Linked DNA regions of Oryzias latipes. The protein of the gene in region 2 interacts with the protein of the main gene of each other region in a pairwise test. Links are inferred from orthologs where the notes say so. Each region holds a gene or a part of one and is shown on either strand. Other genes may lie near its edges.

Region 1 (4,357 bases), on a different chromosome or scaffold from region 2:
TGATTGTCAGATAGAAAAAGACCCCCAATCACCTGTTAGTGTGATTCAGCCAGCCACCGGCGAGCTGCGCTCCCCTCTCGAGTTTTTTGACTTATGTTCCAAAGACTACAAAGAGGTGTGGCCGCAATCGTCTTGCAGCAGAGGGCGGTGGTCACGTGCGCATCGGGTCTGCTGTGTCGGAGCAAAGAATTGTGGGAAATAATCTCCATTGCCTGCTTTTTTCGAAATTGGGTTGAGCACGGATGTTTGTTCTGCCTAATTCATTTTCATGTGCCGGTTTTACGTTGTTTCACTCTGAGGTATTCTTTTTTTTTTTTTTTTTTTTTTTTTTTTTGCACCATAAGTGTGAAGAGCAAATAGGAGGAAGACATTCTTTAGAGTCTGATGTGTCTAAATAAAAGCATTAAGTGTCGGCTGCTCAAGCAATTTCAAATTAAAAGCTCCAAGCTTCCTCTTTGAATTTAGTATGTAGCATATTATGTGTAACGCCTCAGGAACGGCAAATGCCGCCCCCTATGAAGTGCCGCCCTGGGCGACCGCCCACATCGACCATATCAAAAACCGCCACTGCACTGCAGTAAGATAAACAGTTTAAGTCCCACTCCAATAATCATTCGATCTATTTTCAGTGTTTCCAGTACCGGTAGTCTTTTAATTATAACTATGCCGCTTTTAGGCTAAATCAAAAAACCTTTGTCGTTTTCAGGGACATACATAGTTTCTGCAGCGTGGCAGTAGTTCATTAGAAATTCATCTCTGAGTTGTGGGCGGGACTGTTGGCGAGGACTAAGCCAATCCCTGCTTCCTATCATCAGTTTACAGCCCCTCACAGCCCCCAACCTAAAATTATGCAACAAAAATGGCTAGCAATATTGGAGCTATGCAGCCATACCGTTTTGATCCAGATGTCAGCTCTGGCAAAGAAAACAAAGATGTACAAGGATCTAGTCATCTACAAGCCAATCCATCATAATGGAAAATGCTGCTGGTTGTAGTAGCTTGTAGTAGCTTCTACGTCAGATCTGCAGGATATTTCAAATGGCATTTTTGCACATGCTACTGATTCACAACGATTTGAATAAAGAAATACTCAGAAATGCAATTTTAATCTTATTTTTTTTATGTGTCCTGCATCATCAGAAAAATGTCACAAGAATTAAAAAATACACCAAAAATCATTTATTTGAATTAAGCCGTCAATTCTATTCTATTCTATTCTATTCTATTCTATTCTATTCTATTCTACTGAAAACCAATTATTTTTAATTTGTACTAAAAGATACAGTTATCAGTCTGTCTTTAGTTGGTTGTTTTGTAGTTTTGAGTTGGCTCAGCCGTTCGCGCTTCGTCTTGTTTGACCCTGGCGATGTCTCTTACTGTACGTCACAGTCACATGATTGTCAGGAGGAATTTAAGGAAACAAACGTCAACAACAAAAAATACAATTTTTGGGCCATAGAACTTTACATTTTCTGATTTTTTTACGGTTTTCTAAAGATGGAGTCAACCCTCGAACAACACCTTGACGATACGTGAGTTCTAATCTATGCTAACTAGCTTGTTTCTTTACATTTCGTACATTCGTTTGGCTAATTCTCTTGATTTCGTGTTTTTTCTGCAGCATGAAAAATCCAGCTGTTGTTGGGGTTCTATGCACGGACCAACAAGGACACAACTTGGGCTGTAAGACTCTTCAGAGTTAACAGGAAGTCACATCACATGTATTTATTCACGAAGTACCCCGTAGTCGATATTCTCTAGTTCGTCAGTTTCGCTAATAAATAAATTCCCGCAACAGTTTAGTTTCCCCAAAAACACAAGTTTCCACCGCCAGCTGTTTATGAGAGATCATGTTGTTATTTCTGATGTTTTAGTCTTTAATCTCATTAGAGAAATGTTGCCAGTGAGTGAGAGAGGCAAAGATGTAACTCAGAAAGAAGACCCATAGTGTTTAGGTCAGTGCAGATCATGTGTAGACATCTGTCTCCTAAAGACATCCTTTGCTTACATAACGGGATGTGTTACTTTTTCCAAAGAGGCCCATATTTGCAGTGAATCTTAGAACTATTTGAAACACATTAAATTAAATATACTGCAATGGGATACTTTTCATGACATTTCATGATTACATGACAGTCTTCACATAGAAAACAGACATCTAACTACGTTTTTACCAAAATTACTGTCACATTTGTATATTTTTTGCACAGTTCATTCACAGTTAGCTTGTCGTATTAGCATGTCTTATCTGGTAGTTTCTCTTGATATTGAACTCCATGAAAACAGCCACAGTCTTCTGGCCCATTAGGCAGACACAGTTGTTTTATATTTCACTGAAAAAATGTTCAAATTTTCCATTTGTCCTTTAAGAGGTTGACCCTTAAAGAGCTAGAGAGTGTCACAAAAGGGTCGCACAACAGTGTTTCCACAGGTTTATAAAGTCTGATTTAGCCAACCACACAGCTTTTAGATATTGTTGCAGGACGCGTTCTGTTGATTTTATGTAGGAGCCTACGGGCCGGTGAAAATTTGAAAGGGGGCCGGATTTGGCCCACAAGCCGGACTTTGGACATGCCTGGCTCTCATGACTGATCGACTGTTTTCCGTGTTGAAGACCTGAGTCGGAATAATTTAAAAATGGGTCTTCAACTGAATAAGTAACAATTTCCTCTTGAGGCAAACTGATTTGATCTATTATATGATAGTAACAGTTCAGACCAGCAAACATAGCAAAGAATTCTGGCTCACTGTGGTGGTCTGATCTGCTGCTGGTTATTACACCTTTGCTGCCAGATGTTAAAGCTACATGTTAAATTATCACACTGTTGGTGCTCTGACATTGTAAAAACGTGAAATCAGATTTACTTTAAGAAAAAAGTTAAATTCTAAATAAAGACTGCAGTCCAAATGAACTGATCTGATGAGCAGAAGGATGCATCTAAAGCAGGTCATCATTTAAAGTCCCACTCTGATCATCTTTTGATCTATTTCAAAAGCATTCCTAGTCTTTTATTTATGATGAAGCTGTTTTTGACCCAAAAAAAATAGTCATTTTCCAGAACAAAGTTTCTGCAGAGCAGCACTAGTTTTTTTAAAAATTCACCTCTTGAGTTGTGAGCAGGACTGTCGGCGTGAAGTAAGCCCACTTGTCGTCACTCATCTGTTTACTGTTTACATGCTCTCCTGCTAGCTTTCAGCCCTTCAGACCCCAAGCCTAACATTAGCGGTACATCAAAAATAGCGAGCAGTATCAGAGCTATACAGTCCTAGAGTTTTTAACCCGATAACTGCTCGGATGAGAAAAACAAAGACGTCCATGGATCTAGTCTGGATTCTGCTGATTCACAACGATTTGAATAAACAAATCCTGAAAAATGCATTTTTGAATATGTTCTCCATCATCAGAAAAATGCCAAAAGAACATGTTTAAAACACAATTTTCATCAGAGCGGGTCTTTGACATATTTTTTTTTTAGGTCGTGGATCTCTGTCAGATGAACATGGAGGTGTGGTGTCTGTTCTGGCTAAACAAGCAGCTGCTCTCACCAGAGACCTGACGGACACACCGACTGTGTGCCTAGAGTCCGAGTCAGGGTGAGCCATGGACTGTGCCTTTGCACAACTTCTTCTATTTCTTAGTTTTAGTGCATTTAAGGTGTGCCTTTGTAGTTTTAAATGTGGAAGTGTACAAATAAGAGTTCCAAGACGCTGTGCAATCAGCTTCAACTTCTGTGCCACAGAGGTGCAGCAGAGATGAGCATCCTCTATACCTGCTGGTCACGTGGGAGACCATGCCTAATTATTTTTCTGAGTATTGGCTCCTCTATACTATTCATGACTTTTGGAACTTCCGGATGTTGGAATATAATAATTTCCCCACCTCCTCAATACTGTACATTTAAGTCATTTAATGGATGATTTAATTCAAAGTGGCTTAACAGTGAGATACAAAACAAACCATATTATCCAGGATTAAGTGGTTGTGAGGGTTAGACTCATGGATAATCATATAGGCAGACCTGGATTTGAGTATTTATTTTTTTGGACTATGCTGCCACCTTCTGGACTCTTTTAAACTATTGAATGTAGTGGAATTCCCACCTCTGAAATGGACTTTGTCATTTGGAATTAGAAATTTACCAAAAACACAAGTAAATAGAATTCAATCCTGTTGTCTAAGTAGCACAACACCAAAAAAAAAAAACTTCTAATGAAGCTGAACAACAAACAAACAAACAAACAAAAACAACAACTATATAGTTATGAAATTACCAACTCAATTTATACTCAAATAAAAAAAAAATGAATATAGTGTCTAAAATCTCTTTTTTCTATCTAAGCCAAAGGAAAAATGTTT
Region 2 (3,705 bases):
TGAGAGGCTGCAGACAACGTCCCACATTTTGGTTGAGTTTTGACGCGCCTCATTCGTCTGTCATCTTTTATTTGGACTTTTCACTGAGTGTTGAGAACAAAAGCTCAGAAGCAAACATTCAACTATCAGACCATCCAGCAGCAGCGCTCTGCAAACGAGCCGTTCCTTCATCAGGCTCAGGCAGGTCCCCAATACAAATGAGAGAAATATACTGTAGAACTGATGTTACTGTGTGAAACCCCCTGTTTTTTAATGATTGTGAGCTTTTTCCAGCATGTTTTTCACCATTCAGTTTATGCCCCCCCCTTCCATTCCTACACCCTCCCCATGTTCCTCCCTCCATCCTGTCATCCCCCCCTTGCTCCCTTCCTTGCCTCTTATAGATTACCCGGATGCAGACAGAGAACAGCGTGCTGCGGGGGTGCCAGCAGGCTGGGGGGGCAGCTGGCCATGGGTTAGGAGGGCCTGGTGGAGGAGGAGGAGGAGGAGGAGGAGGAGGACACTGGCCAGGGGGAGGAAATCAAGTAGACGGAGGAGGCTCAGCTGGACCAGGAATGGTCTCCCCATCGCTCTTTGTGCCCTCCTCAACCGCCTCTCACTCCCACCCCCACTGGAGGGAGCGCCAGGCTTTTTCAATGTACGTGCCCGGAGCCGTTCCTGGCCCCATAGCCCATGGCCCCCCAGCCCTGGACTCCCTGGCAGCTCGCCTGCAGCCCCTCAACACACCTAGCGTAAGTTAGAACCCCGCCCCCTCCGGAACTTTTTCCACTTCCCGGTTTTCTTCCCGATCGACCGCCGTCGGCCGAGGCGATGTGGGAAAATCCTTCCCCCCCCCCCCCCCCCGTTCCTCCTGCTCTGTCACTCCGTTACCGCTGCTTCCATTGAAAGGTCATGATGTGCACATCACCCAGTCTACTCTAGAAAAGGGATCCGGGCTTTTTAGCTGCATAAAGGGTGAAGTGCACAAACATGAGCAGAGATGGGGGGGGGCAGGGGGGGGGGGGGGACTGGACTTTTCTCTGCTCTCTTCCCTGCACCTTTTCCAGCCCTTTCATAACCTCTGACATGGCTCCCTGACTGCTGCTTCACCTGAACGTCTCCCACTCATCTAAGGAGCATGTCCTCATCTCTACTTCACTATTGAATCTCTAGCAAAAAGTCTGAAAATGATGGTTTTTGGTTAGGTTTCTGATCAGTATTTGGGTAGAGAAGCGACTCACTGGAGGCCACTGTGTTGCTAATCCAGTTTTCTACTGACCGTCTTCTGACACTTTCTTTCTGTCTTTGGTTTTGTCTGTTTTGGCCCGTCTCTCCTTTGCTCACTGCGGTGCGACCGTGCATCCTCTGGATGGAAGCATTCTGTCTGCCACTGCTTTGTTCACCACTTCATCTAAGGAGGTTGAGTTCATCTGCTCATCTCAGAGCTTGAAATCAACTCAAGTGATCTGGTTTTGTAGATGTTTGTAGTGAAATAATGGCCAGTATAGTTAGAGCTGGTTTGTTAGACGATCAGTGCCGCTCATGATGAGGTGATGTCAGAGCTGCTCTTATGATCCGGTGCTTCCTCATCCTGTTTCTTGCCGTCTTTGGTCCTTTCCTTAGTCCCAATTAGAATTCTGGCTTGTTAGTCACGTCTGTTCTATGTCAACATGTCAACTCTTCATGCGTGTGTTCCTTCATCTTCCCAGGTGAGAAAAGGTGGCACGGGGGGTGCAGTGACCTACGGAGGCCAGCCTCTGTCCGGCTCCACAGAGGTGGGCAGATACATGGTGAGTCTATAGCTGCGTTTATCTGTTGGAGCCATAGACCGTCTACTAGAACTGGATAGAAACAGGAAATAGTTTAGTCTCCATGTTTTGTGTGAAATGGAAGCTGCCATGTTGGGGCCACATTTTTGTTTTTAACCCCAAATATAATGTCACCAATTTTGCCGAAGTAAAAGCCAAATTTCATGAACACTTTACACAGACTAATCCACAAATCCACCATTTTTTGTTGATGAGAACTTGGATCATTTATTTTGTAGGCTGCACAATAAATCTCAAATTGATCGTTCTGGTGATGTCAAGCTGTGCTAAACGCATACCGCAAAAGTCGGAGAAAACTGCAATAAATGGTTACTTAAATGTGCCAAAACAATCTTATGGCAGCTTGAAGTATTTAATCCATTTATGCGTTTGACCAATGGGATGTTGTTGACCAATCACAGCTTTGATGTCAGACTGGGTAAATTGGAGTCTGATTTAAGTTATTTGGACTCGTATTTAAATTAAACTGTCGCAGTGAAATGGAAATGATGACTTTGGTTGTTTTAATATTTATTCATGTATCGCAAGTTAAATGGTCATCGCAATATTGATCACTAAAATGGCAAGTTTTTCTCATTTCGTGCAGCCCTAATCAATAACAAATGAATTGGAATACTTTTTTCAGATAAAAAATATTAAAATGCAATGCATTGTGGTCTATATTTACCAGTCTATCGAGCCTTGATGCACACTAGCTTCTCTGCAGAGACGTGGGAATTTTTTTAGGGGACTGGATTTTGGAATCGTAGATTGGGACAGTTACAAAATGACTGACGAGTGCACTATGCAGTGAGTAGTGAAGGAATGTGGGCACAACCATTGTGATTGGTCTGAGTCATCATTTCTACGGCAACCAGAAGTAAGCTTGTTGGAAGTCCACACCCCTTCCACTGAACGTGGGCTTAAGTGAACCAGAAACATAGAATCAGCGGGAATATGGAAAAAAAAGAAGGTATCAGATCAAGAAGGGTTATTCTGACTAATAGAATGACTGAGTAGCAGCTGTTTATTTCTCTATAGACGTTTTTAAGATCTTGTATTCTTGGAGACAGCAGGTACTTCCTGTTTAGAATGTGACGGGGGAGGGGTCACTGTTCTGAAGTCATCTCTTCTTGTTTATTGATGGCCGCCGGGCTTTTATTTTGTAAAACCGTCTGAAGCACAGCTGTTATACAACAAACCTGGCCAATAGGCAGCTTCCTGTTGGCAAAACACACCTGATGCAGGTAATCAGTAGGAGGATGCTGGAGTTCAACAACCCGCCCCAAAAAATAAGATAACACTATCAAGTTTCAGCTCAGCAATGAAGAAAATGGGGGCGGCTGTGGTGCAGTGGTAGGGCGGTCGAGACATGAGCGTAAGATTGTAGGTTCGATTCCCGCCTTGCACACCCATGCCTCGATGTGTCCTTGGGCAAGACACTGAACCCCACCTTGCCTCTGGTGGAAGGTTGGTGCCCAGTGTTCGGCAGCGGAGCCGCCACCAGTGTGTGAATGTGTGAGTGACTGTAAAGCGCTTTGGGCCTTGTAGGTAGAAAAGCTCTATACAAGTACACGCCATTTACCAAAATCTTCTTGGAAACCCATAGAAGTGGTGGGCGGATAAGCATGACTGTGCAGTTTCTTGTCCTGTAAAAGGATGAGTGAGAGGCACTAAAGGTCAGGTGTACGGCTCTTCCTGTGGATGATCTTCAGCCTCTGAGCTTCTCTGGATACTTGGGTTTGAACTGAAGGAAAACCCTGTTTCTGCTGGGATTGTGCATTAGGCTGGATGGCCTCTGATCTCTTCTAATGATTCTATTTGCAGGTGCCTAAACCAGAGAAGCACGGCAGTGGCACAGACAGCGACTATGACAACACGCACATGTATGACCCTTCACTGAGGTCAGTTTTTGAAG
Region 3 (4,453 bases), on a different chromosome or scaffold from region 2:
GTGGAGGTTCCTTCTGCTGTTGTGTCCCAGTCACTGACCCCCACTGCAGTTTGGTTGACCCTCATCTCTCCTTCAAACCTACATGGTCCTCACAGACCTTTAGGAGACACTTCACACCAACACAGAGGGGTGGGAGGGGCTTTATTGGGATCACGTGGCACAGAAAAAAAACGGATTACGGAGCTCTTCTGGACAGCAGCATCTCTCTGATGTTGTCTTCAGCCTCCTTCACGCTGCGCTCCAAGTACACCTTCTTCTGCTGCAAGAGACCACAAACGGGCAGCAACAGTCAGAAACCCGCAAACATGCACTGCGAGCTGTGATGGAGCAGGCACTCGCACCTCAAGCTCCTTGATCTTCTCGTCCACGGTTTTCTGTTTGTCTGTCAGCAGGTTGTTGATCTTCTCCCTGGACTGAAGAATGAACCTGAAACAACAGTTTTCTGTCATCTATAGGATCGGCAGGGCAGATGAACCTAAAGGCAGCATTCAGACATTAACGTTTCTTTATACCATGGTCCGGGTGAATACTCGATTCTGATTGGCTGCTGGGTGTGCATTAAAGTGATAATCCACGGTGATAATGTACGCCTAAAAAAGAAGTTCCGGGCACATAGCTTAACTGTTCTGTATCACTGCACTGGCTTCTTTAAAACAAACTTCAGCCTCATCATCTGGACTAAAAGAGGTAAACTTTCTCTCTGAACTGATGCTTTATTTAACCCGTGGTGACGATCAGCATATATATTGCTTTCCTTTGCCGCAGCAGTCGAGGTCAGTGGGGCTAAGCAGCGCGTTATGTTACCGTGACACGTAACAAATAGTCGACTTTTTGTGAAGAGAAAAAAAAGAGATTGGAACCATAAAAATGTTAGAATGAAAGGCCTAAAAACTGGTTATATATTTATTTCTTTTGTAAGTAATCATGGTAGCAGCGGATTAACGGCTGTCAAAGTGGGCACAATCAGAAATTAATGCACTTTATGGAAGCAACTGCGGAGGACGGTTGCTTCCACAAAGTGCATTCATTCATTCATTTTCTTCCGTTTGTTCCCTTTCGGAGTCACGGGGCTGCCGGAGCCTATCCCGGCCACTTATGGGTGAAGGCAGAGGACACCCTGGACAGGTCGCCAGTCTGCCGCAGGGTCACAGTCACACACCCATTCACACTCACATTCACACCTATGGACAATTTAGAGTTGCCAATTAACCTATGGAGCATCTTTTTGGACGGTGGGAGGAAGCTGGAGACCCCGGAGAAAACCCATGCATGCACGAGGAGAACATGCAAACTCAATGCAGAAAGGTCCCCCATTGATGTTCTGTTTCAGGTCCCCCAGCCGGGACTTGAACCAGTGGCCTTCTTGCTCCGAGGCAAGAGTGCTATCAGCATTAACGCATAAAGTGCATTAATGCTGATAAAGCACACTTTGTTGGCCATTAACCCTTATGTAGCTCAGTGTTTGTGCAGATCAGTTGCTAAACGCACATCCTCTTCAAACTTGTGTATAAAAGTGTTGACTGGATGTGAAGTTCATAAAGTCAATCAGGTCAGACAGAATTCCTCTGTCTGGAACTCTCATGGAGCCTCAGTAGCATCAATGAGGCCAATCAAAACCTCTCCAAAAAGAAATTTATGTGAATCTGGTGGAGATCTCCTTAAAATAAATGTAAAGTTTTCAAAATAAGAGGCACATGGTTTCACAACTGCAGTAGAACCGTGTGACACTGAGATTTCCAAAGCAGAACCAGACATTTGATGGAAAAACCAGACTGGTTTCATGTTTTTCAGATGTGTCTAACTCATCTGTGTTCTTTGGTGAGTTGGCATTGATTACAGGAGAGCACACTTACATTCGGCCGACGCCCTCGTACAGGCGCGTGTTTTCCGGCAGCGAGGAGATCTCTGTGCTTGTGAGCTTGGCATGTTTCTGAACTCGAGTCAGCTGATCAATCTGGAGGTCGGCCAGCTTCACCTTCTGCTGTGTGTCAATCATCTTCAGCTGTAGCTCGGCGAATGCCTGCAGAGACAGGAAGTATCGCTCTGTTCAAAGTCGAAAAGGAAACCAGGAGAGAATCAGAGTTTCACTATTTCTCCCATCTCTTCCTTTTCTCTGGCTTGATTCAGGAAGTCAAACAGAAAAATGAAACACTGCCTCTCCTGTAAATCAGTTAACAAGCAAAGCGATCTGCTACATGAAGGTAGTCTATGAAGATATAAACCTGGACCATTTAAATGTTTGCATAAAGGAGGTAAAAAAAAAAAACGACATCTGACCTAAAATAATCCACGACACTGAAAGATGGAAAACTGGACTTTAACATTTACAAGCATGTTTGTCATAATCTGGTTTCCTCAAACCCCATCATCTTTTGTCTCAGTGTTAATACCGCAAAGGATTGTGGGATTGGAATATGGTCCACCCGATCAGAAAGGATGCTCGGCCGTTTCAAAGAGATGGGGGGGGGGGGGCAACCTCAAAACTCATTTTGCTCTAAGGGGTTCAAAGATTCGGTGCAGGTACACAATGGTCCGGTTCACATGTTTGTTACTAGTGAAGTGACCGGTCAGCCGAATTTCGTGAACCTTCCGCGTGCACCACTGAATGCGGTATGGGTCACACTAATAACTACCAGCGGTAGCTGCCTGTAACCCAATATCGGAGAGTATGCGCAACCACGTGCGTCAGACATATGATGTGTTCGGCGTCCTGTAAACTACACACCTTTTTTAGTTCCAGGTCCACGGGCGCCGCCATCTTTAGAGTAGATTTCGAGTGCGCATGCGCAAGATTGTCTTCTTCGGGCTTATTTTGTGGCAGCATCAAGTTTGCCCACAGCCCCTCCCAGTAACGATGATCTATTTAAACTCCCCGTGACCTTTTTTTTAAAAAAAATAAAAACGTTCCCAGTGGTGTTTTAGTTACAATTACGACGTTTTTTTTAACTAAAATTCCACAAGCCAAATGTCTTTAAAATGTCATGTTTATCTGAAGCGTGTTTCCAAGAACTCCTCTACATGGGCGTGGCTATTGGTGCTGATTAGCTCCGCCCTCGATTCCCCCTATCTGCAAGCTGCGTCTTGCCTGAGTGAAGACCGATAGACAGTCCCAGAAATTGTAAAAATTGTTGAATACACTTGCATAGCACTATTCACACGTCATTTTCCAAATACTTGTGGCCAGTGCAAAACTTAATTCTTGAACACCCGGACCCAGAGGAAAGGTTAAGTTTAGTGTTATGGTTACATTTAAGGTGCGTTCACACTGAACGAGATTCGTGGCAGAGGTGGCCAGTTAAGGCCCGTACACACCGGGACGAATTTCGCGCGCGATATTCGCCGATGTTTAACGCCTCATGACTAAACAAAGGGCACCAATGTGAGTGTGCACACCGACGTGAAAAAACGCCACGCTTCAAAGCGTCACTTTATAAAAAATGCCTCGGGTTCGTTTTTTTGGTTTGGCGCCACGCGGCAAAAACTATACGACTAATGAGAATGGGGCTTTTGGACACGTGTCTGGAGCTTCTGAAGTTACAGTAAAACACAACTTGGGGGCGCTCAAACACAAAACTGCCTTTCTGAGCACACATACCAGCGAAGAAGATAAGACGCCAAGTGGAATCTACACTGCCGCAAAGAAATAATGACGGACATTCTAAAATATCCCCGAAAACGCTCATGATACATTTTTAGCTCTCGTACCAGTCGATAAAACTCCCCATGTTCTTCTCTTCTCGTAACTATGGGATGTACCCAAAATCTGCGTCTTTTCCAGCGTCTTTCATCGTTTGCTGTGGTGTCATCGGTATAAAGGTATTGTACTGCAAATAATGATCCTGTGTTAATAAAACTTTGACTTGCTTTACGGCAGTTATCAGTCTTTACTCGGTGCAACACATCATTCAACAGAACAATAATTTCTTCATTGCTGGAACTGGAGCTACTGGTGCTGGAAATATTCATGTTTTCTTTGTTTGATTCTGACAAGCGCGTAAATACTTGCTCTCTTCTTCTGAGTGAAAAGCGACTTTAAGAAGCGTAAAGTTGCGCAGCGCCACCTTGTGTACAGGGGTATTTCTGTTTTACATTAAGCGCCATCTAAAGTCAGGGAATGAAATTGCATGTTCGCTTGGCTCATCGTCAGCGAAAATCGCCTGGGTGTGAACAAAAAAAACGTGGCGAAAAACGCTGGCGAATAATGCCTGGTGAATATTCGTCCCGGTGTGTACGGGCCTTTACAATGGCAATGGTTGAGTCAATGGCAGAGACACGATCTGGGGTCCTGCGGCGCGATTTGAGCGCAAAGGTCTGGCAGTAGCAATGTGCCAATTTTATTTTTTAGCAATGGGCTTTTTACTCTGATGGCAAACTGTAAAAACACATCAAGAGCTCACAATCATATACATGGAGTTCCAAAACACAGATTGTTCAAATTTGCGCATGCGTCTTG

What was found.
Region 1: the proteins of git1 (region 2) and lamtor5 interact in a two-hybrid assay, tested with the Homo sapiens proteins (2 studies listed by BioGRID and IntAct). The link is inferred for Oryzias latipes from reciprocal best matches to the Homo sapiens genes GIT1 and LAMTOR5.
Region 3: the proteins of git1 (region 2) and pfdn1 interact in binary tests that used the Homo sapiens proteins (3 or more experiments, as listed by UniProt). The link is inferred for Oryzias latipes from reciprocal best matches to the Homo sapiens genes GIT1 and PFDN1.

What each region holds. Positions count from the first base shown.
Region 1 is NC_019865.2:10,897,192-10,901,548, reverse strand, and holds the start of lamtor5 (ragulator complex protein LAMTOR5), read left to right. Parts: upstream 1-1,358; 5' UTR 1,359-1,497; coding exon 1,498-1,532; intron 1,533-1,621; coding exon 1,622-1,683; intron 1,684-3,476; coding exon 3,477-3,594; intron 3,595-4,357. UniProt on the Homo sapiens protein: As part of the Ragulator complex it is involved in amino acid sensing and activation of mTORC1, a signaling complex promoting cell growth in response to growth factors, energy levels, and amino acids.
Region 2 is NC_019871.2:27,390,732-27,394,436, reverse strand, and holds part of git1 (ARF GTPase-activating protein GIT1), read left to right. Parts: intron 1-383; coding exon 384-731; intron 732-1,688; coding exon 1,689-1,769; intron 1,770-3,614; coding exon 3,615-3,691; intron 3,692-3,705. UniProt on the Homo sapiens protein: GTPase-activating protein for ADP ribosylation factor family members, including ARF1.
Region 3 is NC_019872.2:23,089,789-23,094,241, reverse strand, and holds pfdn1 (prefoldin subunit 1), read right to left. Parts: upstream 2,891-4,453; 5' UTR 2,825-2,890; coding exon 2,726-2,824; intron 2,021-2,725; coding exon 1,854-2,020; intron 427-1,853; coding exon 342-426; intron 260-341; coding exon 176-259; 3' UTR 123-175; downstream 1-122. UniProt on the Homo sapiens protein: Binds specifically to cytosolic chaperonin (c-CPN) and transfers target proteins to it. Binds to nascent polypeptide chain and promotes folding in an environment in which there are many competing pathways for nonnative proteins.